Linked DNA regions of Lytechinus pictus. The protein of the gene in region 3 binds, or shares a complex with, the protein of the main gene of each other region. Links are inferred from orthologs where the notes say so. Each region holds a gene or a part of one and is shown on either strand. Other genes may lie near its edges.

Region 1 (8,681 bases), on a different chromosome or scaffold from region 3:
CCATGTATGCCTACATTGGCCCTCTTTCTTTCTTTTATTTTATTATTTTTTTTACTCATCACGCTACCGTACTGCCACACACGGGTTTGCCCTAATGATCGTGGACAATCATAAAAAATATCATTTTCATACCATGTGACTGGGAAATTTTTGGCTCCACCCCCCCCCTCTCGATCCCTGTATCGATTTTGACTTGATAGGGGCCTATACCTGATGGAATTTGCTTAATTCAATATAAAATCATAACGGATAGAATGCCTTGAATACAGGCCAAACAGCCTAACGACATTGCCGTGTCACGTGACAACCAGTATTAAACGAGAATGTGCACAACCCTATGGCGACAAAATTTGCCGCAAAAGTTGAGCAAGTTCTGGACAAAAAGGCTTCAATACCCCAAGAAAAGACCAGGCGAGTACTATTTATACATTTTTTCAATTTAGTAATATCTAGAGTCTAATTTAAGAACAGATTTCGTCATGGAGCTCCATGGTAAGATCTAGTAATTTAAGTCCAACATTTAATTCGCGTGCACTCACTTTTTTAACACAGGAATTAATAGCCTTGGTGCTTAGAGTGATTTAGAGCTAGATCTTTTAGAAGGAAAGTAGAAATCTCGGGGGTGAAAGTTTCAGGTTTTGGCTTCCATTGTGTGGGTCTATGGGATAGAAGGCCTGGCTTCATGAGAGTGACCTTACGTTAGTAAATGATTTTTACTCTCTAGAAGCCGCCTGGCTACACTTACGCTAAAAGTAAAACCAGTTTAACGAGGCAAAGCGATCTTGAAAACTACATCGCGAGGTGGTTTTCCAAACTGGTTTGCAAGATCGCTTCGACCGTTCTCACTACGCGTTAAACTAGTTTCCACTAAACTAGTTTCCAGTTCTTGTTCTTGTATATTTCCTTCCTCCGGTCTTCGGAGATCGGCGGCAAGCCGCAAAGTTCAGGTCCTTTCTTGTTGGTGCTGTCGACATAGGTGGATTTTTAAGATGTATCTTAGGCAGTGACATGTCAGAGAGGAAGCAGAAGAGGAGGGCAGAGAGTGTGAGGGAAAAAGGATGGAGGATGCAAGGATGAGGGGGTCATTTCCAGTGAAATCATTTAGGATGTGTGCAGGCAATTCAAGGTTCTCAACATGCTGTAGTAGGTCCAGACGCTGCGTCAAAAGGACTGGACATGAGGCAAGAAAGTGGGTAGTGGTTTCTTCCTCTAGAGAGCAGAGATTGCAGGTTGGGTCTGTGCTCTTCCTGATGGTAACTAGGCGTCGTTGTGTGGGATAGGTGGACGTAAGTAGCTGAGCGCGTAAGATCACAGCTGATCGAAGATGGGTCGGTAGTGAAGAGGGGTAAAGTGACGATATCTTGGGGAGCATTGAGAGGTTACTCCATAGGCTGAGGGATGAGAATTTCTCAATGCACACTCTGGCTTCTTCCATTTGGGCATCATACACTTTACTCCTGCACAGAGTTTTCCAGCGGTTGTATGAGAAATCTTCAGATAGGAGAGAGGTGAGTGAGGGAAGGTTGTACTTAGAGAGCAGTTTATTCCAGTAGATGATAGTAGGAGTCTTGATGGAGAGGGCATGGAGGAATGAGCGAAATTCAAATCTACTATGGTCGATGTTGAAGAGCTGTCCTATCAGAAGGAAAGTGTTCAGTTCAAATCTCGCGGGAGAGGTGAAGTAGGTCAGTTAACAGGAAGATAGAGATATTGGGGGCAGATCTCGGTCACCCAAGGGTTCATTACATGCCGCCGCGCACAGAAAATTCAAGCCATAGAAGTCGTGTGTTGTGGACCCAAGAAGTGAGATCCCAGCACGCGCGACCCACTAGTTAGAAATCCACTGCCAAACGCGGTTCGTGGTGCGAGGTTAGTATACTAATACTAACCTCGCAATACGTGTGAGTGGATCTCGGTAGACCCTAACCCAGAGAGCTCCGGCCCGCGTAGCGGGCCGGAGCCCAGACGCTCAGTGTGCAAACGGGCATTCAGGTGAGAGTACCGTGAAGTTTGGTCAAAATAATTTTGATAATAAATAATTAAAACAGAAATTAAGCACTTACCACGATTGTATGGATGATAGTCTAACGAGTGGCAGTTTCCTGACATCGAGGCACAGACTGGAACCTCAAAAAACGATCAGTTCTGTCGCGGTGGCTCTCCTTCTTTCAAAATTCATAGCAAAATGGCCGTTCGAGAGGGTGTAGGGCGCATGCGCGAATTTGACAAAGTCTATATGCGCTAGTGCTATACTAGCCTCGGTCTCGATCGGCCATTTTGTGTTGAATTCTGAAAGAGGAGAGCTACCGCGACAGAACTGATCGTTTTTTGAGGTTCCAGTCTGTGCCTCGATGTCAGGAAACTGCCACTCGTTAGACTATCATCCATACAATCGTGGTAAGTGCTTAATTTCTGTTTTAATTATGTATTATCAAAATTATTTTGACCAAACTTCACGGTACTCTCACCTGAATGCCCGTTTGCACACTGAGCGTCTGGGCTCCGGCCCGCTACGCGGGCCGGAGCTCTCTGGGTTAGGTAGACCCAAGAGTTTCTTGAAAAGGGAGTGTTGGGCAGAGTCAAGTTTGTTGAGTGAGGATTGAGTGAGACACAGGAGCTGTGAGCCATAGTAAACTAGTTTTAGGAACGTAGTAAGAACAGCCTCTTTAAAAGCTAACCAAACATAACATGAGAGTCGACGTATGGGACCGAGCTTAACGACTTCCAGGTTCCGCCCCCACACAACTTCATAAAAATATCTTTAATGAGACAGGATGAAAAATAAATGATTGTATGAAAAGCAAAAATGCATACTCACACATTCAATAAATGAGCTCACTGTATCAAAAATAGAACTGGAAATGGGAAGATCTAGTAATTAGCAAGAAACTATCTCAGACCCTCCAGGGAGCGGCCATATTGAATCATGTGAATGTAAATTATCGAACAAAATTCCGAAACGAAAAGATCCGAATTCACGACCTCTTCGCGGTCGCGGCGCACGGCTATATATACCGAGCGCTAGCGTCGTTGATCCAAAATGCTCTACTTTTACCTTTCTAGATTCTCTAAAAGTTCCACAAAGTTTTCATAAATTATTCACAGAGAGTGTTACTCTACAATTAAAAAAATCAGAATTCAACTTGCATTGCAAAGACAAAAGAGAACAGAAACTAGCAGTTTTTAAAAGTGATTTCCTGTGATCCCTTCATAGATTAGAATAGGCCGAGTAGGCACTTCAAAAGATAGGACTCACTCAGGCCGGAAGGAACTAATTTTCACTCAGTTTTCATCAGGGGCACCAACTGGTTGTATGTTTCAAATGAAAGAAAAAGGCAACCCTGACCGACAATCGGCTCATGAATATATAAACCCCTCTTTCCGAATCATAAGAGTGAAAGGAGATCCGGGAAGGAGATATGTTTTGACCGTGGGATTCACAACTGTAGGAAGAAAGGAATCACGGGCATTACGAAAGCGATTCTACAGTGCGTATCAAAAAAAAATTAACACTCTGAAAAAGCCCTGGGAATTAAAAAAATATACAACACGTGGGTAATTTTTCACATATAACCTTTGGGTCTCTTCTATCCAATGAAAGTAAAAGTTTGACAGAATGTTGCACTTGAGTGAGCACTGTCCATTTTTGTAAAGCTCGCAGAGATCTAGCTGTTTGCACAGAAATGCCCGTCAGTTTCACGCTGTGTCAAGGGGAAAGGGCGAAATCAAATTTACCCTGCGAAACATTTCTCATACATTTCCCTTGCACTTTTAGTCAATTGAAATACAACAGATACATTCAAGCATTTTGTAACAATTTTGCCACCCAAATTGAAATTTCAACACTTAGTAAGCACAACTTTTACCCTTTTTGTGCCAGCTGGATCTGAGCTAGGACATAACTAAATCTGAACAAAAGTTTATATCAGACATCTCCAGCATTTTTTCACTAAGTTTTTATCATTTAAAGTGGGTTTACATTTCAAATTTCATTTAATACTTGTTTTTCCACACCCTTTCGAAGCTTGACAATGATTAACAAAATGAAAATCAAGCCTAAAAATTAAGCCATTTCATGTAAATCACAGCTCAGTGTAGAGCAAATATCGCCACGATGGCCTCAGTGTGTGGGGGAGTAGGGTGGGGTGCAATCAGGGGCGGAAATCTCTCCCAAAAGGTAGGGGGGACACAGGGGCGGATCCAGCCTTCGCCAATAGGGGGGGGGGGGGGGCGGAAATTTGTTTCAGCCATATTTTCCCCGATCGGCAGCTCGAAGATGATTTTTGTTTGTTTCTTTGAAGGGATAGTCCTCATTAGTCACTTCTTAGCTTTATTCTTATTAATTAATATATAATATCATAATCCTTATTTATATGATGCGAGCGCGAAGCGCGAGCTAATTTTTTTGGGACATTTTCACCCAAAGAATGGAAATTCTAAGCGCTTTTTGTAACTCAAGCAGAATAGGTATATAAGTAAACAATTGATGCGAGCGCGAAGCGCGAACGGAAAATTTCGAGATTTAGTCCTATAATATTTACTGAACGAGACACTCTATTCACGTTTTGTAAATCATGAAAAGGATGAGTATTAATAATGCGAGCGCAAAGCGCGAGCAGAAAATTTTTATATACGTTTTGAACTGGTACCTGTTGAAAAGGTAGCTGTTAAGGACTGCTTGCACTTAGCCATGAAGGCGTTACATATTTTCAACAATTAAAAGATGCGAGCACGAAGCGCGAGCTGAAAAATTTTGAACTTTCTAAAGAAAGAAAGGAAACTTTTAATCAGTTTTTGTAATCGTGAACAGGATAGCTATATAATTTAATAATTGATGCGAGCGCGAAGAGCGAGCAGAAAAAAAATCAAGATTTAGACCTAAAAATGGGCCACTCTGTTCATGTTTTGTAAATCATGAAAAGGATGAGTAATATGGGGTCTTCCTACATTAATAATGTGAGCACAAAGCGCGAGCAGAAAAATAGTGATATTGTGATCTGAAACTGGATAATGATTTAAATAGAGAACAAGTTGAGTATCTGAATAAACATGCGCGCGCGTGTTTCATATTTAGACCTAGAATCTAGGCATTCTAAATACATCTTCAATCATGAAAATCATGAAACTTTGATATTCCGATCTGAAAAAAAGAGTCAAGTTCAGCTTTATATTTCAAGCACTTTGTAGAAAAATTGTAAGGTGGATATGGATCGCACTTAAAAACCGGAGCTGATATTTTCATTATTATTACTCTGAGTTTTGACATAGGACCGGGACATCCTTACAACATGTCATCATATGAAAATGATGACTATCTTCCTATTCCTCTTGCTAAGCGAGATGAAACAAAAGGGACAATTTGATTATTAAATTAATATCATATTTATTAATGCCCGTTATATGAGGGCGCGAAATCTGATGATATTATGGCATAGAAAGTGGACATTTCACTTCTGTAATTATGAATAGGATGCATCAGTTAATGTATTTTTAACCATTAATGCGAGCGCAAATTGCGAGGTAAATTTTTTGATAAACTGTGTCATGAATAGGGGATTATAAGTAGTTTGTTGTATAATCAATATTGAAACATATATAACTCGCCAATCAAAATGCGAGCGTGCAGCACGCTAGCTGATACGTCTTAACAATCAGACCTGAAAAGGGATATTTTGAAAACTTTATGAAATACACGAAAATAATAGGTACCTGATAAATCAAAATTTGCGAGCGCGCAGCGCAAGCAGCAAATGTTAATATTCAGACCATAAAACTGACATTTTTACAGAGCACTTTTTAAAAATCAATTTGTAAATCACACAAAATAATGAAAGTTCGATTTCCGAGGTGAAATATGTTTTGTATATTGACTTCCAAACTTGACATTCGAGCTCCATATTGAACAAGATATTAAATCACCTAACAGGTAATGCGAGCGCGAAGCGCGAGCGAAAAATTTTCTATAGTGGCACGAAAGATTATTTTTATTTTTCAAGTCTTCCCCTCATCTTATTTTATGCACTCGTCGTCCTTCTCTTCTTTTCTCCTCTCTTTTCCCTCCTTTATTCCTTCTTTCTTTCCCTTTTTTCTTTTTTTGCTCCGCCAAGAGGGGGGGGGGGGGGGGGGGGGGGGGGCGGGCCCCTCGGCCCCCTGGTCCGCCTACGGGGACAAGAGGCGGGAAATTTGACAAGCAAAAAAAAAGGTTATCATCCCAAAAGTAAGGTCATCTCGTCCCAACTCGTCCCAAAAAATACATGTTTTATTTCGATTTAGAATGATGTATTTCTTACCATCATAAAAGACCAAAAAAAGTAGGGGGGACATTTGATATTGTGTCCCCCCTACTATTTTGAGTAGGGGGGACACGTCCCCCCTGTCCCCCCCGGGATTTCCGCCCATGGGTGCAATGCACTCTTCGAAGTGTGTTGGACAAGGAAACAAGTTAAAAAGGTAAAAGGTATCTTCAAACCAATTTTACTAGCTAAATTCAATGTGTTCTTCATAATTAAGGTCTACTTTTATTCCCATAACTATTTCAAAGTTCTGCGCAAAACATTTTTCACTAAGTTTTCAAAAGTAAGTGGTGCTCACTCAAGCGGAAATATTTTCGACAGTTATATCGTCATTTGCCTAAATGGATCTGTACCAATGTTAAAATGTGGAAAAATCTTCAGGATATTACAAATGTATAATTTTACAGGATTTTTTCTAAGTGTAAACTTTTTTTGATACGCACTGTATATTCTCTGTAGAATAACTTATGGGAGGGAGGGGGTGCATGAAGCCGAACGCAGATTTTTTTCCTGGGGTGGGTGGTACGTGGGGGGGGGGGGGGGGTAAAACGAATTTTCCGCTCCCTACAGCCATGGGTGAGAGAGACTAAAGAGATTTTATTATTAGACCAGAAAGGGGGACATTTCAAGGACTGTTTATAGGAATCCATGAAGAGCAGACATATCTCACTAATGCGAACGTAAATACGGACTGGAAATGATTTATATTCAATCACATAAAATAGTCATGAAAAAAGCATATGTCACTTTATAAAACAATAATAACTCGAAGTGCGAGGAAATAGATTTGATGTATATGGACTTGAAAACGGGATGTTTTAGTATTTTTTGTTTTGTAGTGATCTTTATTATTCATTCAAATAAATTTCATACATACATAATCAAGAAAATATAGAACAAAATGATAATTGCAGCAGTGCAATACACAAATTAAATAACAGTGTAATAAACAAAGCAGGCAAATTGTAGAAAAGAGACATAATCCGAACTCATGCAAAAATAACATTTCAACAACTTATGTATGCAGCTATAAAGCAAATAATAAAACAAAGACGTAACAACTACGCAAATTTAAAGAATGAATGTATATGAGCATTCTCCCGTCCCATGAGCCCCCCCCCCCTATCAGACCCCAAAGCTGAACAAACTAACACACCAAGTATGGCAGGATTATATATATCTTTAAACAGACAATGCGATCGAGCACCACTGAATGATGAACACATACAGTATGTCCTATAAGCAAATAATATTTCATAAAGTTATGAAAAATATTTCTGTAATACTGTAATATAATATACAATAATTTCTTTTCCCCACTAGGTTTCAGGTGCCTAAAATGCATGTTGAATGATCTTAATTCATAATCACGTGAAAAAAGGCAAATGAAGACCACTTTTTTTTATGTGTTCATGATATTTTGTCATACCACTTTTTTAAAATAATAAATTTGACCCGGATGGGTGTTTCATAAAGCTGTTCGTAAGTTAAAAGAACCTTTAAGAACAACTGGTGAAACTTTCTTACGCTATAGCTTAGAATTTTAAGCACTTTGGGGTTTCAACTTCTCATCAGAGTAGGCCCTTCAAACATTTTGTGAGCTGACATTTCTTTACCAGGGGCGGGTCCAGCTTTGATGATGGGTATACGTATATATCTTAACAATGATGCCAGTGCATCAAACTCTAATTCGGCGCCCCTATGCCAAACTTCAATTCGTCGCCCCTTGGTAAAACATAATTCGGCGCCCCTAGGTAGAACATCAATTCGGCGCCCCTAAGTAGAACATCAATTCGGCGACCCTAGGTCAAACTTCAATTCGACGCCCCTATGTCGAACATCAATTTGGCCCCCCCCCCCCCGCCGAGTTCGAAAATCAATCCGGCGCCTCCTTCCCTCTTTTTTCGTTTGTTTCTTCTCTCTTTCTTTCCCCTTTTATTTTCGACTTCTCTTCTTTTTTCCCTCCTTTTGTCTCCCCTTTTCTTTCCCTCTCCTTTTTTTTCTTCTTTTTGGCGCGCCCCTTTTCGCCTACCCGTGGGGCCCAGGCCCCAAAAGCACCCTCCAGAATACGCACATGCTGATCATCGAAGCGTTAACACATTCCACATAAATATGGTATCAAATTATTTGGGAGAACATACTCTTTCAAACTATATACACTGTTAAAAAACCCTGATTTTACAGAAAAAAAAGAAAGAAGAATTTGCAAAAAGCAATAACAGAATCATTCTGTAAATTCATAAAACAGGAATTTTTCTGCAATTTAACAGAACAGGTCTGTTTAAAAAGGGGGAAAGGGTGTTTTATTAAAGGAAAATTGTAAGGTTCCATACATCAAATACCAATTTCCTGTAAGATTACGCAATCTGGTAAAGATTACAGGTGTTC
Region 2 (8,645 bases), on a different chromosome or scaffold from region 3:
CTTATTACACATATTAACAATATCATTGAATCCTGCCACTTGAACTACATGTACCATTACATTCTTAATATTCAAGTGTAGAAGATTCACTTCCACATAATCAAAACAATAACACTTGAACAGGAGATAAACAGAACCCCCAAAAGCAAGGGGAAAAACAGGGAAAGTATATTCAAATCAATAATGAGTTACAAAAATAATCCAGGAAGTATTCTATTACCTTTGCTTCCAATATGTTGACTGTGGTTTCAAGCCTTTGAATACGAGTTGTGATCTCCGACAGTTTCTGGAAATAGTCATGCAATAAAAAAAAGGAAGGTTGCTACATTAATCAATTTCGAAATGTATGTTACAAACTTTTGAACGACTTTGAAGGTAAAAGTAAAGTTTGAATATAATCTACATGTACCATCATGACCATTGGGTACAAAAATTTGCAATTTCCTGTCGCTAGTAAATACATAACTTCTTTTGACCATAAAATGGCACTTTTGAAGAGCACTTTCCAACTTTCCAGGCCAGCGATAGTTTTACATGATATTGATAAGTACAAACATCAACATAGGAGTCCATGATGAAGGTAAATTTAATGTAACTAAATCTTGGTGACTAGCCAATTTACTCCTTACCGTTTCACAAACACAGGAGAACTTGTTGAGAAACCTGGTTGTGTGTATGATGAAGTGGTTTAAAAAGGCGAGCATTCGCTTGGAGTGTATAGCACCAACCTGAAATTAAAAAAAAAACAGAAGAAAATTTCAAGAATAACAACTTTGTGCTTTTAGTTTTGAATTACAAAAATGTAGATCTAGACAATACAATCAACTAAGAGGATGAAGGGGTGTTTGTGATTCCAGGAAAAAATTAGCAATTTTCACCAACTTGCCCCCCTGCCTCCTTGAACTTACTGAAGCATGAAGATTGAAGGAAGCTGACATGAAGACCTGTAGCTGACAAGAACATAGACCTGGAAGCTCGACTGCTGATTCAGCATTCTTCCAGCCAGTATTTGCGGTAAGGTATGCCTAGGTAAGACTAAGTCACTAATAGACCAAAAGCTTCAGTCTATGTTAATTATGTTGGTTGTTCCGCTGAACTACGTTGGCTCCACTCACCAAATACAGAGACCGAAGTTCTAGAGCGATCTGTACAGGGGAGTAGGGGACTCAATGGCCATATGTTTATGTACTTAAGCTCGGATAAAACGGGGAAGTGAAGTTGCGCGACAGCTGAAGTAAGTCACTGTTTTTCCCCTTTTAAGTTTATTTTTCCCCGTTTTGGTGCATTTCAGGCCAAAACGGAATAATAATCTCTATTTTGGTTCAATTCTTTTTCAATATTTTTGGGTCATTCTTCAATAAGTGTATATTTTTGTGTCACATGGCTTTGGAGTCCCATGAAAAAATATAAAAAAGTTTTCTTATTTTTTACCGCTTTGTGTTGACTAACACGTATGTAAAAAATAATGAAAAATTAAAACAGGTCAAAAAGAAATATCATATATAATTTATTTTTAATTTTTTTTATGGCCACCCCCCTCAAAATTGCATGTCACAATAACATAATGTAAACATAAACATGTGTTGCATTTTTAAAATTATGCATCTTTTTGTAATAATATGCCTTGATAAATTAATTTTTATGAGTTGACAACGAATACCACTCAAATATACACGCGCAAGCAACGATTTTAAGATTTTTTTGTTTTTAAGGCCTATTATTTTGTGTCACACGATTTTGCGTCATCTCCGTCACGCATTTTCAGTGCGCCATCTACAGTACAACAAAGTGCACGGTTTTCAAGATTGTGGTTGCAAAATGGCCGGTGGATAGTACGGAGAAAGAATCGACACGTTTTTTCCCTGATCTCCGGGGTTTTGACATTGTTCGGGCGGCATCTTCGTCAAAAACCAGGTGCGTACCTTTATTCAGCGTCATCTCCGAACGCTTGGTATTAGCTAGATAAAGGTGTTACATTTATTTTCTAATCGTTTCTATGAAAGATTAACGTGCCCACAGAACAGCCAATGCCGCACTCGCGTTAGTTGGTATTGCAGACATTGATTATCGGTGCATATGTGTCTGATAGTCATCTCCGTCACGCATCATCTCCGTCACGGCTCTTTCGTGACGGAGATGATGAGTTTGATTTGAATTATGAACTTAGTTAATTGACACATTGCATGGGCTCATGATAAACTTACGGCTATATTTACAACATGAAAAGTGACCCTTGGCCTTGGTCTGGAGGACTTCAGATCTAAATTGGTACACCGTACAGTACTACAGATATCATTAACTTTACCTTGTCCCACATACCCATATCTGTGTAAGTGCTGGTGATGTCTATTGTGACGGAGATGACGCATTAACAGTGTACATGTTTAAAAAGACCCCAAAATTATAACTTAGTCCCCATAAAGATCGCGCCAAACAGTATTTCCATAATCTACAGATGTACAAATATATTAAACAGACAAAAAGAAAGTTTAGAAATAGTTTTGAATTTCATCATCCCACAATGGTCGAAAATATACACTTATTGAAGAATGACCCTTTTATGAAATAAAGACAAAAATCGATGTGCCCCGTCGGGGGGATTTTGCATTGTTCACCCCCTAATGGTGGCTGCACGATAGCGAGCCGTCTGTGTACGAGGAGAAGTTTAAAAAATAAAAAGATGTTGAAAAACTCCTCGAAACAGACGGCTGCCAGCTGTCTAAGACTAAGTCACTAAAGCACTAAGTGACATGTCATGAACAGAATGGAATTACATCCCAAAGTCAAAGAAACTAAAGCCTGAGAACCAATGGCAATGTATGGCAAGCACAGCTGCAGCATGTAGGCCTACACTCTTCTTTCACTTACATCATTGCAACAAAACAAAACACAGTCAGACAGACAGAGACTAGTCAGACTTTTTCATCAGCTGACTAGCAGTTCATTTGAACATGTTGAAAATTGTCTCACACACACTTTGCTCATTATTTGCTCTCTTATCCAAAAGGTTAATCGATGCAAAAAAAAAGGTACATTCAAGACTAGCTATTTGTAACAAAGCGCCAAAACAAACTGCACTGGGTGACTAGCTAGCTAGCGACGCGACGATTGTACAAAATGACACTGACATGCACACATGTTAATAGGCATGTGGGACCGAAGAAAATTAATTAGTGACGCCCCTAACTTTCTGCTGATAAAAATCGTTTTCACAATAAAATCCTCTTACCTTCGTCAAATCTACTCCTGGTCCTACAAGGGGTAATCCGTCAGCGTCCATCCTGGTTCGAAAATAGATTATTTGTTAACCATTAATGGCGAGTATTGATAGAAAGTCTATTTTTTACTCAGCCTTAGTTTTTCACTTTCCGGTTTATTATTACAGCTAGTTGGCGAGAAGTGGACGCGAGAGGGCTGCAATACTTGCCGAGCGCGAGCGAGCAAATTGTTTTTTTTTCTGAGGGTTGAATCATGGACCTACAAGCAAAGTAGGTCCATGGGGGTCCATGGTTGAATTGAGGGAATTGATCCCATGTTATCTAATCCTTGTTTTGTTCGTATCAACAGGAATATAGTGTGTGTGTGTGTGTATTTGAGTTTTGTCAGACGTGTATCAATCAGATATGATTATTTACGTCTGGGACCGACCTTTAACGTCACCATCCGAAAGACGTGACCAGGGCTCGAACCTCTGCATCAATTTGTAACTTCCCCACAGCTTGGATTACAGGCGCACGCCACAACGCCCAGTATAGCATCCACTTCGTAGACTTTCTAAAGTTAAGAGCATCGTCTTAAACCTAAAAGAGCCGGGTTATTTGGACCCATCTCACAGCCGGGGGGAGGGGGTGCACAGTAGTACTGTGCGATAAGATCTACAGGCTGTATGGTTAATTTTTTGAAATAATAATATTTTCCATTTATTGAATCCTGCAGCTATTTAACACAGATTGAATTAATTATGCTATTTTATGCATGAAACAAACGATTTGCTCTAATCAACTATGTACGGCGCCAAAACTGCTAATACAGTGCGTTCATAGTTTTATTCACAGACTCTTTGTAGGATCCCAATCAAAATTATGTACTTTAAAAAAATGGTACCGCATTTCTTTTCTTATGTATTTTTTTTCCTTATGTATTTCCTTGTTTTTTTCGATGGAAATTGATGCAGACTTAATTCTAATCATAAACAAGACAAAATTCATTAAGTTTAATCAGTTTAAAAAAAATGGTATCCCAATTTTTTCTCATGTATTTTATTTTTTTAATTTCTTATGTATTTCCTTGTTTTTCGATGTTTTTTCTAGGGAAATTGATGCAGACTTAATTCTGATCATTAACAAGACAAAATTAATTAAGTTTAAACAGTGGTAGTGTGCGATAAGATCTACAAGGCTGTATGATTTTTTTTCAAATAATAATATATTTCATTTATTGAATTAATTTTTGCATGAAATAAATCATTTGCTCTAATCGACTATCATACGGCCTCAAAACTCCGATTTTTTTTATTCACAGACTCTTTGTAGGTTCCCGATCAAAATAAAATGTATTTAAAAAAAAATGGTATCGCATTTTTTTCTAATGTATTCTATTTTTTTTATTGTTTTTTCCGATGGAAATTGATGCAGACATAATTCTGATCATAAACAAGACAAAATTAATTAAGTTTAATCAGTAAGAGTAGAAATGATGATACATTTATGAATTTTGGCTAAATACACAATTTGCATTGGATTTGTACATGAATTCACGTTTTTGAGCAGTTTTGGGTCTGACATGCACTTACATAATGTTGCGTAGTATTTCGTAACCGCGTACCTGGGCATCGCAAATTTGGTCTCAAAAGTTGTGCGAGATTTGAAAGTAAAGAGTCAGCGAGCTCGGCGGATTTATCGTGAAAAATGATGGGGCGGCGGAATCCGCCCCCGGGCCTTTCTGGGTTAAGATTCGGACCGGATGAACAATTGCAAATATGTTGTTATATGAAATAATAAGAAAGTTGAAAAAAATTTAAAAAAATTACATTTATACTGTAAATTCTCACAAAGTTCACCAAAATTGAAATGTATTGGAATTATGTATAAGTTAAGAAGTTGCCTTCCTAAATCTGGTACTCTCTATTTACAATAATTCGTTAACATTATCACACATTCTTTACTGTATTGATGTCTGGGGTAATTGCAGTAAATCCAAATTAGATAAACTTTTTAAATTACAAAAAAAAACAATTTATATATGCACCAACAGACATTATCTTTCAGCTTCATCTCATTTATTTCGTAAACTTAATACTTTGAATATTGTCCATCTTTATCAATATCAAGTTGCAATATTAGGGTTTTCTACTTTAAAAAATACTGACAAATAAGATTAGTAAAAAATTTTGTATCAATAATGCTGTACATTGACACAGAATTATATGTAATTATACGTAATTTGTTTTATTTTTGGAAAGTAGGAAAGTCCTACATGTCCTATGTACAAAAAGGTTTATGCTTTAACTCCCCAATAATCTGGAATTTCTATACCGAAATTTGTTCCCACAGGGCACAGGCAAGTCTCTTTCCCTCTTTAAATGAAAATTGAAACAATACTTTTATTCAAAATATTCCTAATTTTGCAGCTATGTTACAATTCTATACACGATTTGTAAAACATTTGTGCTTATCCTGTACGTCCGTTTTCTTAAAGGGATGATCCGGGCTGAAAATTTTTATATCTAAAAAAATAGAGTGAAATTCACAGAGCAAAATGCTGAAAATTTCATCAAAATCGGATAACAAATAACAAAGTTATTGAATGTTAAAATTTGTCAATATTTTGTGAAAATAGTTATATGCACATCATCATGAATATTCATTAGGTGGGCTGATGAAGTCACATCCTCACTTTCCTTTTTCTTATGTTATTATATGAAATCATAAATTTTTCATTTTTTCATACATTGTGTAAATGATGTGTCTCCATTATGATGAAATAAGTTGCGGCAATAAATAATTAATGCACTTAATCAGTTGTCAATCCAATTGTTTTAGTTCTTGGTAGAAAAATTTTGAATAAACATAATTTCATATAATAAGATACAAAAGAACAAGTGGGGATATGACATCATCAGCCCACCTAATAAAATATTTATAAAGACATGCCTAGAACTGTTTCACTGGAATAATGCAATCTTTAAAATTCAATAACTTTGTTATTTGTTATCCGATCTTGATCAAATTGAACGAAATGAAACGAAATTAAATGAAATTTTCAGCATTTTGCTTTGTGAATTTTCCTCTATTTATTGAGATATAAATATTTTCAGCCTGGACCATCCCTTTAATCCATTTACCTTTGTAACCGAAGTTCTCATATTTACTTTGATCATGTTGATACTGAGTAGCCTCCATATTATCATTTATTATTTTAGGAGACTTTACCTCATGCACAAGGCCACTATATATATTGGCTTTATTTAATCACCCTTTTCATTACTGCACACAGGCCTAATAATATTATTGTATTTATTTTAATTTGTTTTTTTTTTGCATGTTTACATTTCAAATTATTGATGTATATATTTGAAGTGTATCTTTTATGTTTATATAATTCTGTACTCATTAATGAATAAATGAACTGAACTGAACAATTTTAAACTTGTATATTTTCACTCCAACGTCAGCGATTCTTCATTACTAACATGACTAATAGCATTCGTTAAAGGACAAGTCCATCCCAACAAAAAGTTTATTTGAATAGAAAGAGAAAAATCCAACAAGTAAAACAGTGAAAACTTTATCAAAATCCGACGTACAATAATAAAGTTATGATATTTTTAAGTCTCGCTTAATTTCACACAACAGTTATATGTACATCCTAATCGGTTTGCAAATGAGGGGACTGATGACGTCATCCACTCACTATTTCTTTTGTGCTTCATGAAATATTGCAATTTTCTCATCATTTTCAAGTGAAAAAACGAATAATTCCTCCCTGAACATGTGGAATTAGCATTGTTTAATACTACATGATTCAGTCAAGTTGTTCCTTATCGTCATATCTGTAAAAATGAAATATCGTATAATAAAAAAAATGAAGAAATAGTGAGTGAAGGACATCATCGATTGTCTTATATGCGTGTCACTGTGCTTATCACTGTTTTGTGAAAGTAAGCGAAACGTTTAAGTGTCATAACTTTTTTTTTATTTTACATCAGATTTGGATGAAATTTTCAGCGTAATGCTAATTTGATTTTTCTCTATTTATTCAATGCAACATTTTTCTGGGGTTCGACTTGACCTTTAATATACTCGCTTTGTTCCTTGGGATTGACATTCATACGGTAGGCACTTATGATCCAAGTTTGAAAGGAGACTCGTAAAATTACGTCAGTCTCGCCGATGAATATTCATTAGATCGTGGTCGTGCGTGTTCAATACACACTGCGTGCAGGCATGCAGATAGTTATATGCGAGGAACTTTGGCTCCAGGGACAAGTTGTCAAATAACGTGTGTGTGTGTGCGTGTGTGTACCATCGGCTGGTAGTATGCCATGCTGTCTAAGACTTCAAACGCGTCGGAGAGAGTGCATGGCAATTCGGTAAAACGAAGTTTCCGATATAAAGAGATAATAAAATAACACTATGTACAGTACGCCCGGGGGGCCACTTACATTGACGAGTGGATACCATATGCGCGACCAAAAAAACACGTAAAAGGGATGTCTTTTTCAAGAGAGGGCAGGTTACGTACGTAACGTGATAAGGGTGTCAAAAACACAAAAATATTGAAAAAAGGGTATCTATTTCCAGTACGTTGAGAGGCAAATGTCAGATCAGGGGAGGCAGGAGTACAATCAGGTTTTTTTAAAGGGAAGAATAGTGTAGAATAAAAGGTATTATATATAGCCAAATGATCTAGGTGAGGGAAGTGAACAATATGTTTTTTTTTTTTAAGAATGAATATACCTTACCTGAATATTATGGTGAAGCCAATTTAAAAGGAGGTGAGGCAAGTTTTAATGGAGGTTTTTAAAAAGAATAAACTGTACTACAAATTATGGTGAAGCCAATTTAAAAGGATGTGAGGCAAGTTTCAATGGAGGATTTTAAAAAGAATAAACTGTATATGGTGAAGCCAATTTAAAAGGAGGTGAGGCAAGTTTCAATGGAGGTTTTTAAAAAGAATAAACTGTACGTATTATGGTGAAGCCAGTTTAAAAGGAGGTGAGGCAAGTTTCAATGGAGGTTTTTAAAAAGAATAAACTGTATTATGGTGAAGCCAATTTAAAAGGAGGTGATGCAAGTTTTAATGGAGGTTTTTAAAAAGAATAAACTGTATTATGGTGAAGCCAATTTAAAAGGAGGTGAGGCAAGTTTCAATGGAGGTTTTTAAAAAAGAATAAACTGTACTACAAATTTAAAAGGAGGCGACGCAAGTTTCAATAGAGGTTTTTAAAAAGAATAAACTGTACTACAAATTATGGTGAAGCCAATTTAAAAGGAGGTGAGGCAAGTTTCAATGGAGGTTTTTAAAAAAGAATAAACTGTACTACAAACCCAGGACCAAAATCCAATTGAAACCAGTTGGATTTCCAATTGGTTTCAATTGGTTTCAACTGGTTTCAATTGGTTTTAACTGGAATATAACAATTT
Region 3 (7,851 bases):
GATATAATTTGCTTTTGTATGTTGTTTTGCTTGTTTTTATTGATTGTACATATTTTGTTTTCTTTATATCTGTATGATTTAAAAGGAGTCTGTTCAAATAAATACATAAATAAATAAATACGACGTCATAATCTCATAGCGCCCTCCCTCAGAGGATATCAGAATACAAGTAAACAAAGTTGCAATGTAAGAAATCTCAGCTGAAGATCATCAACATATGCCATGCAACGGCCCGATGACGTCAATGCACACATGTGTAAAGGTCTATTGCAAAATGGTGCAAACTTTTCCTCACTGTTCCTGAAGACATACTGTTTTATCTGCAGAATTTCACAATCATTTTGTTTAAAGATCCAGACCGGACCCGAAAATGAAATTGATAAATTATATACCAATCGAAAGCTTATAAGCTACTAAATACACCAAGGTATGCTTTATGCATTTTCACCGCTTCCCAGCTGAGTATTTTGCTTAAGAATATTCCAATTATCGGGTTTCGAACCCCGAACCCCGCTTAGAAAATAGGCTTTATTGTGCTTTTCACCTGCCTCGAGACCGTGACGTCACGTTGTAAGCGTCGTGATTCCATAGGTTTGTACACAGAAAAACTGGATGATTTTTTTGCTTTCCAGATAACGCATTTCATTCTCTTCACTTCTATCACAGAGGGATATCACATATATTTTTACCCACAAGCTTGAATTTATGAAATCTGCAGTTTAGAACTAGTTTTTGCCATATTTTATTTCCTGCTTATTTGGCGCAGATTTCAATTCTATCTGCATTTAGATTATGTATAACAACTTTTCCTGACATAGCAATTTAGGCCCAATAAGAGCCAAACAAAGAAATCACAAAAAAGGTAGTGAATAGTTGTAGGTTTACAACAATTTGAACAGTGAATAATTTTGAGTGCCATTTTCATCTGAAAACAAAAAAAAAAATGGATTCATAACATGGAAATGGAAGAAAATACCCAATGCTTTTGTACACAAACCTATGGAATCACAACCCTCCTGACACAACGTGACGTCATCATTTCCAGGCGACGTGGGGGTGCTCAATCGAAGCGTACTTTGGAGGAGCAGTTTCTTTGATTTTTATTTAATATTTTTAACTATTGGAAGGAGATATATGTAATATTTTTGGTATATTCGTATTGTATGAATCATTACCTTTATTTTGATATATGATTGTTTTTACACCGGTCAGGGTCTTTAAAGAAATGGACATACAGTGTAGGATATAGAGCAGATTGTCACAAGTCAGAGTAATTCATCCCACAGGCAGCTTTTCATTACAAATCATGTATCATAGACAGTTATTTTCAAGAAAACATCCTCAATGTGCGTTACGTAGCTTGGCGAAAGACAAAAAAGAACAGGATGGCGATGCAAACATCGCGGCAAGTCTTCCTGTCTTTTCAAGATTTTTTTTTTTGCATTCTGTTTTAAAATTGAATCAATATCATAGAAATGTCGGAAATGAAACTGTATCCCATTTACATGATCTAGGGCAAGATCTTTTAGAAGGAAGTAGAAATCTCAGGGGCGAAAGTTTCAGTTTTTCGCGGTACATGCACATGAACAAGACACAATCCCTGGCTCCTTGGAGAGTAAGCACACGTTAGTGAAAGATTTTTACTCTCTAGGAGCCTCCTAGCTAGTTGCACTGCGCAGTGAGCAAGTGGAGCTCTGGCAATATATGTTGTCAATAAGTTTTCATTCTACAGTAAAATCCACACATAACTGACAGAAACAATAGTTGCGGTAGACAGCTGGTACTGTGGCAGCTGTCTGTTTCGGGGAGTTTTTTTACATTTTTTATTTTTTTTAATTTCTCCTCGTACAAAGGCAGCTCGCGATCGTGCAACCGCCATTAGGGGTTAACAATGCAAAATCCCCACGACGGGGCTCATCGATTTTGTCTTTATTTCATAAAAATATGTAACAAGAACTAAAATAATATTAGATCTATTCAGTTTTGGCCTGAAATGCACCGAAACGGGAAAAAATAAACTATAAAAGGAAAAAACATTGACTTACAGTCTTACTTTCCTGGTTTACCCAAACTTAATTACATAAACATATGGCCATTGAGTCCCTGTACAGATCGAGTAAGAAATTTGGTCTAACTTTAATACGTAGCCTAAAATTGGTGAATGGAGCCAAAGCCAATCAGCGGAACATGCAATAATCAGAGACGTAGACCGAAGATTTTGGTCTATAGCTGCAGTAGACCAAAAGCTTCGGTCTCTGTTATGTTGGTTGTTCAGCTGAACTCCGACGGGGGGATTTTGCATTGTAAGTCCCCTAATGGTGTCAGCACGATAGCTAGACAGCTGGCAGCCGTCTGTTTCGAGGAGTTTTTAAACATTTTTTTTTTTTTTTAATTTCTCCTTTAGGGGACTTACAATGCAAAATCCCCCCGTTGGGGCTCTTCAATTTTTGTCTGTAATGAATCAAACTTTTGAAAATTAACGCAACTGAAATGCAAATTAATATTCCCTCTCGGCATTAATTGCCAAAAAACGGGGAAAATCAAGTTAAAAGGAACAAAAACAGTGACTTACCTCGGCTGTCGCGCAACTTCACTGCCCTGTAGCTGTTTTATCCGAACTTAATACACATAAACATATGGCCATTGAGTCCCCTGTACAGATCGCGCTAGAAATTCGGTCTCTGTATTTGGTGAGTGAAGCCAACAGAGTTCAGCTGAACAACCAACATAACAGAGACCGAAGCTTTTGGTCTACACGATAGCGAGCCGTCTGTGTACGAGGGAAAATTTAAAAAATAAAAAAATGTTAAAAATCTCCTCGAAACAGACGGCTGCCAGCTGTCTATAGCTGCATCAGCTTTCCCCCAGTCCAAATCTGTACATGTATCTAGTTTGTTTAGGCATAACCTTACTGTCTAAACAATAAATGTGCAAGTCCCTGGCCTTGTCTTTGTAAACTCTTTCAAGGCCAAGGGGGCGTAGATTGGGCGGTACAGTGTACGAACTTTGCCCCGATCCCAAGCCAAGGGAGTCCAACCCGTGTGGCTGGCTTAGTTACGTTACATTGCCGATACTAGTAAGTGTAGAGCATTTAACTTTCATACTACGTTTCACAGCTAATAAATCCATCTGAAATGAGCAATGACTGTTAGCACTTTTCGTTATAAAAATTACTACTTACAATTCACAGAATCGATGAAATATATTATTATTTGGATCCTGCGCAAACGATGTCGGGTACGGTAACTTATGTTGGTCACATGCACAGGCTACAACTAGCTACGTACCGGTACAAGTCTAGCATGTTGACTCACCATCACTTCCGGGGTATATGTACTACTGCATATGGCATGCACTGCACTGCCAAAGTTGACTGAGCTCTGGGTCTGAGCTAGCCGTGTAGGGGGGGGGGGGGGGGGCGCTAGGCCCCACACTCTTGGCTGAAAATTATTATATCTAATAAAAATAAAGTAAAATTCACCGAGAAAATGTTAAACATCGAAAAAATCATCCAAATCTGATAACAAATAACAAAAATGAACTCAGTTGGGCCCTGATATATGCACACCGTACCGTCATGCAGCGCAGCGGCCGGGGGGGGGGGGGGGGGTATGATGTCATGTTTCCACACTTAACTTTCATAAATGTATGTTCTGTACCCCATCTGCGAAAAAAATATGTGGAAACATGCCTGTAACGAGGAACTCAATAATTCATTGCTTGAAATAGACAAAGTTTTAACTGATAAATGTGTTAATTTTATGGTGCATATGCAATGGGACTCGTGTTTAAAAATTGACCCAAAAATATTTAAATATATTGGTATTCTGTATGCCTATAGTTCAATTTCAAGTTCGTCTCTATTTATCCATTTTGTTCACAACTTCAAGTCAATATTATACATATATTACATTTATATAAGCTACTCGTTTACATAAATCAAGCCTCCATTTGACAAAAGACAACAATACTTAAAAAAGGGTATACTACTACTAGTATACAAATAACCAGTATTTAGAATTTCATTCCAATGGACAATGATGTAGTCCCGATGTAGTATTACTTTAACACCTTATTTGAAAGAGCTACTGTATAGAATTAACTAGTATTTCAGTACCGAAAGTTTAGAATTTCATTCTAATGAAAAAATGCGTGAAGTCCTAACATATTGATTCTAAAATACTGTACTGCCTCAAAAGAGGTTTAAAGTTCGTGTGTGTAATCAAATATTTTATTACAAAGAATTGAAAATTACAATAAGTGCATGAAGTATCGAGATATTAATTTAAAAAAAATGTATAGAAATTACTAGTAATCAGTATCTCAGTACGAAAAAGAAATCTAAAATTTCATTCCGATAATAAATGCATGAAGTATTAATATTTATTCATTATAGCTACTGTTTTGATTTCAAATAGGGCTAAATCGAATGTGTGTAATCAATATTTCATTCAGACAAACAATTTTGAATTTCAAAATTTCGTTCCAATACATGTAATAAAAGCATGAAGTATTAACATAGGTTAAAAGACTCTCTTCCAATACCCGTTTTAGAGATTCGTTCCACTTATGGCCAGTGAAAACTAATAATGTCATGAAATTCTTACGACATAATTTCCCTGGGATTTGGAATTCCATCCCTAAATGAATGCAAGTCTGTTAAGTCATTTAAAAAATTAAACAGTTTCTATATCTCAAAATGTATAGGGCCTAGTTATTTTTTCTCTTGTAAATTGACACTTTCTATGTTTTTTTCTGTTTCTTTGTGTTTATTTGTTGTTGTTGTTGTTATTGTTTATGTATCATGTTTAATTCTACATCTTATCGTTTCTGTATACCATGTCATGTTATCAATGTTCTGGGAACTGCGCTTATAAGGCCTATTGGCTTTATTTATGCAGTTCCCCATTTCATTGTATACTCTAGCTTGCTTGTAAATAGTTTTTCATATCTTATTTTATATTTGTTTTTTAATCGAGAATGAAAAAAAAATGCAAATTGAATTGAATAGAATAAAATTAGACTATTGTTTTCTTGTTTCGGGGCACTCGTTAACACGTAAAATGGGCCCTTCTATGGTGAAAGGGGCACAGAACACGTTCGAGAGGGGGCGCATTTTTGCAACAAAATAAATGGCACCTAAAAGGGCAATTGGTAACACATAAAACGGGTCCTCCTCAGATGAAGGGGCACAGAACACGTTCGTGAGGGGCACTTTGAAGTTGGGTAAAAAGGGGCACTGATTCGAGAAAGGGCACTTTCTAACACATAAATCGGGTTCTTCTCAGGTGAAAGGGGTACATTAGAGGTTCGAGAAGGGGCGCATTTTTGCAACAACAACAAAATGGCACCTATGCGAGAAAGAGCACTTGGTGACACCTAAAACGGGTCCTCCTCAGATGAAAGGGGAACATTTACACATTCGTGAGGGGGCATTTTTCTTGCGTAAAAAGGACACCTTTTCAGTGCTTCAAAAAAAGGGGGCACTGTGCCCCCCCCCTGTCTCTTATACGATTTTATTGATGATACCATTGCAACGAAAAGTATAGTATTAAATCTCAACAAGTTCATTATAAGAAATGGTCCCCACTTTAATATATAATGATTTTAATGATAATTGTCTTAATTCTCACTATATTTCTTTGTATGTAATGTGTTTTATACTGTAATTGTTTGATCATGTTGCTACAATGTACAACAATAATCAGTAAAAAAAAATCAAAAGATGAAAACCAACAAAATAAACAGCAGCAATGTTTATTTGAAACATCAAATCAATTGACAATAAATTCTACTCACCAAAAACTCGAAGTCCTTACAATATACCGTATATTATTAAGGAGATCATATACTGAAAAAAATAAGTTATATGTTGTTTTTTAATACTTGTAGAACATTAACGGATGTTGCTAGGGAGACTATTCCACATTATGGGACCAGTTAAACTTATCTTTCTTCCTCCTCTTGTCTTTCCTCGTTTTGGTCCTCTCCTTCCTCCTCCTTTTTTCTTTCTCTTTTCCCCTTCGTTCTTTTTTGTGCCTCCAATATAGGGCGTGGCCACTTAGGCCACTGGATTTATATGCCAGGGGCACAGCCCCTACCCACACACACATACACAACTTTTAATCACCCAATTTCGTCTCAATAGCGTAAATTTTGGGGGCACAATTTTATTAATAATAACTTCTCATCAAGCGCTCTTTCAAAAAGTTACAAAGCGCTATACAAAAACTTAAAATATAACAACACAAAATGAAATACTACTTGCAATATATCAAAACAAATAAGATCTGAGCATCTTCTGAAACACATCAATATAAGGACGTTGTTTAAGTTTATGAGGTAATGTCTGCATTCCAATATTTTGGGGGCAAACACAGAAAATTACATATCACCTTTTGACCTATCTCTCCATAAAAGTAGGGGGACCAGGGGCTGGACAATTTGACAAGCAAAAAAAGAAAAAAAAAGAAAAGGTAATCACCCAAAAAGCAACGTCATCTCATCCAAAATACATGTTTTATTTCGATTTTTAATGATGTATTTCTTTCCACCAAAAATAGAAGGGGGACATGTAAAATGGTTACACTTCGTAATTCCGAAGGTTCTTTATTCCGAAGGTTCGTAATTCCGAAACACGTAAATTGGCTATACCTCGATGTTCGTTAATCCGAAAACGTAAAAGGGTTCGTTAATCCGAACATTTGTGGCGTTATTCCGAAGGTTCGTTATTCCGAAGGTTCGATAATCCGAAAACGAAATAAGGTTCGATGTTTCGAAGGTTCGTTAATCCGAAAACGAAATAAGGTTCGTTGTTCCGAAGGTTCGTTCATCCGCAAACGAAATAAAGTTCGTTGTTCCGAAGGTTCGTTAGTCCGAAAACGAAATAAGGAATTACGAACCTCATCATTCTTTTTCGGATTAACGAACCTTCGGAATTACGAACCTCACTTCGTTTTCGGACTAACAAACCTTCGGAATTACGAACCTCATTTCGTTTTCGGACTAATGAACCTTCGGAATTACGAACCTTCAGAAATACGAACCTTCGGAATAACGAACCTTCGGAATATCCGAACCTTCGGAATAACGAAGCTTCGGAATTACGAATGTATTCGATTTGAAATCGTGTCCCCCTACCATTTTGGTTAGGGGGACGCGTTCCCCTGTCCCCCCTGAGATTTCCACCCATGCCTATTGACTGATTGATTTGAATGTCCGTGAGATGTGAAGAGAGATATATGTGATGATTATCGAGTGTTGTACATTAATTGGCGAACTCTTAGGAGGTGTGACAGGTATGGTGCAGGAGTTTCCTCAATCATGTCAGAGACTTGTGCTGAATTCGATTTTTTACTTTCAGCTAGTGTAATCGGGGGGGGGTGTATTATGATGATTGACAGTAAATGACCCTTGTTGCTTTATTCTGTAATTTCTACAGACGATCTAGGTTATTAGAGGTGACACCATAATTATATGACTGAAGTGGTTTAGGCCTATAAGATAATATGACAAATAAAATAATGATTGAAATAACAATTTCCCTTTTGATCAATGTGCCCTATAAGGATGAGTATCTGTAGGCTCATAGGCTTTGTCTATAAAAAAAAAAAAAAGAGGAAAACTCAGAGGGGTATGGAGTATACTCCATCTGGAGGTCAGTCTTTTTGTCGGCGAGAACTAACTTATAAATCTGTTGACAAAGTAAACACATTATACATAAAGCTTGTCCGGGCTTTTAATTGCAGAACCTAAATTATTAGAATATCATTCAATTCAATTTATTAATCATATTATCATAATATAGGCATAAACACTTCATTCATATATGTTTTTTTTTTCTTCAACTGA

Evidence for each region. Proteins that work in one complex are often made in the same cells at the same time.
Region 1: WASH complex subunit 1-like (region 3) and WASH complex subunit 5-like share a complex: the UniProt entries of both Drosophila melanogaster proteins name them as parts of the WASH complex. The link is inferred for Lytechinus pictus from reciprocal best matches to the Drosophila melanogaster genes wash and Strump.
Region 2: WASH complex subunit 1-like (region 3) and WASH complex subunit 3-like share a complex: the UniProt entries of both Drosophila melanogaster proteins name them as parts of the WASH complex. The link is inferred for Lytechinus pictus from reciprocal best matches to the Drosophila melanogaster genes wash and CCDC53.

The regions. Positions count from the first base shown.
Region 1 is NC_087261.1:28,105,879-28,114,559, forward strand, and holds the start of WASH complex subunit 5-like, read right to left. Parts: upstream 3,399-8,681; 5' UTR 3,257-3,398; exon of another isoform or gene 2,819-3,256; intron 1-2,818. UniProt on the Drosophila melanogaster protein: Acts at least in part as component of the WASH complex which may regulate wash nucleation-promoting factor (NPF) activity and is required for its membrane targeting during endosomal sorting.
Region 2 is NC_087263.1:2,397,869-2,406,513, reverse strand, and holds the start of WASH complex subunit 3-like, read right to left. Parts: upstream 3,399-8,645; 5' UTR 3,281-3,398; coding exon 3,230-3,280; intron 729-3,229; coding exon 630-728; intron 287-629; coding exon 221-286; intron 1-220. UniProt on the Drosophila melanogaster protein: Acts at least in part as component of the WASH complex which may regulate wash nucleation-promoting factor (NPF) activity and is required for its membrane targeting during endosomal sorting.
Region 3 is NC_087247.1:74,319,764-74,327,614, forward strand, and holds the start of WASH complex subunit 1-like, read right to left. Parts: upstream 3,336-7,851; 5' UTR 3,182-3,335; intron 1-3,181. UniProt on the Drosophila melanogaster protein: Acts as a nucleation-promoting factor by activating the Arp2/3 complex to induce actin polymerization. Participates in both linear- and branched-actin networks.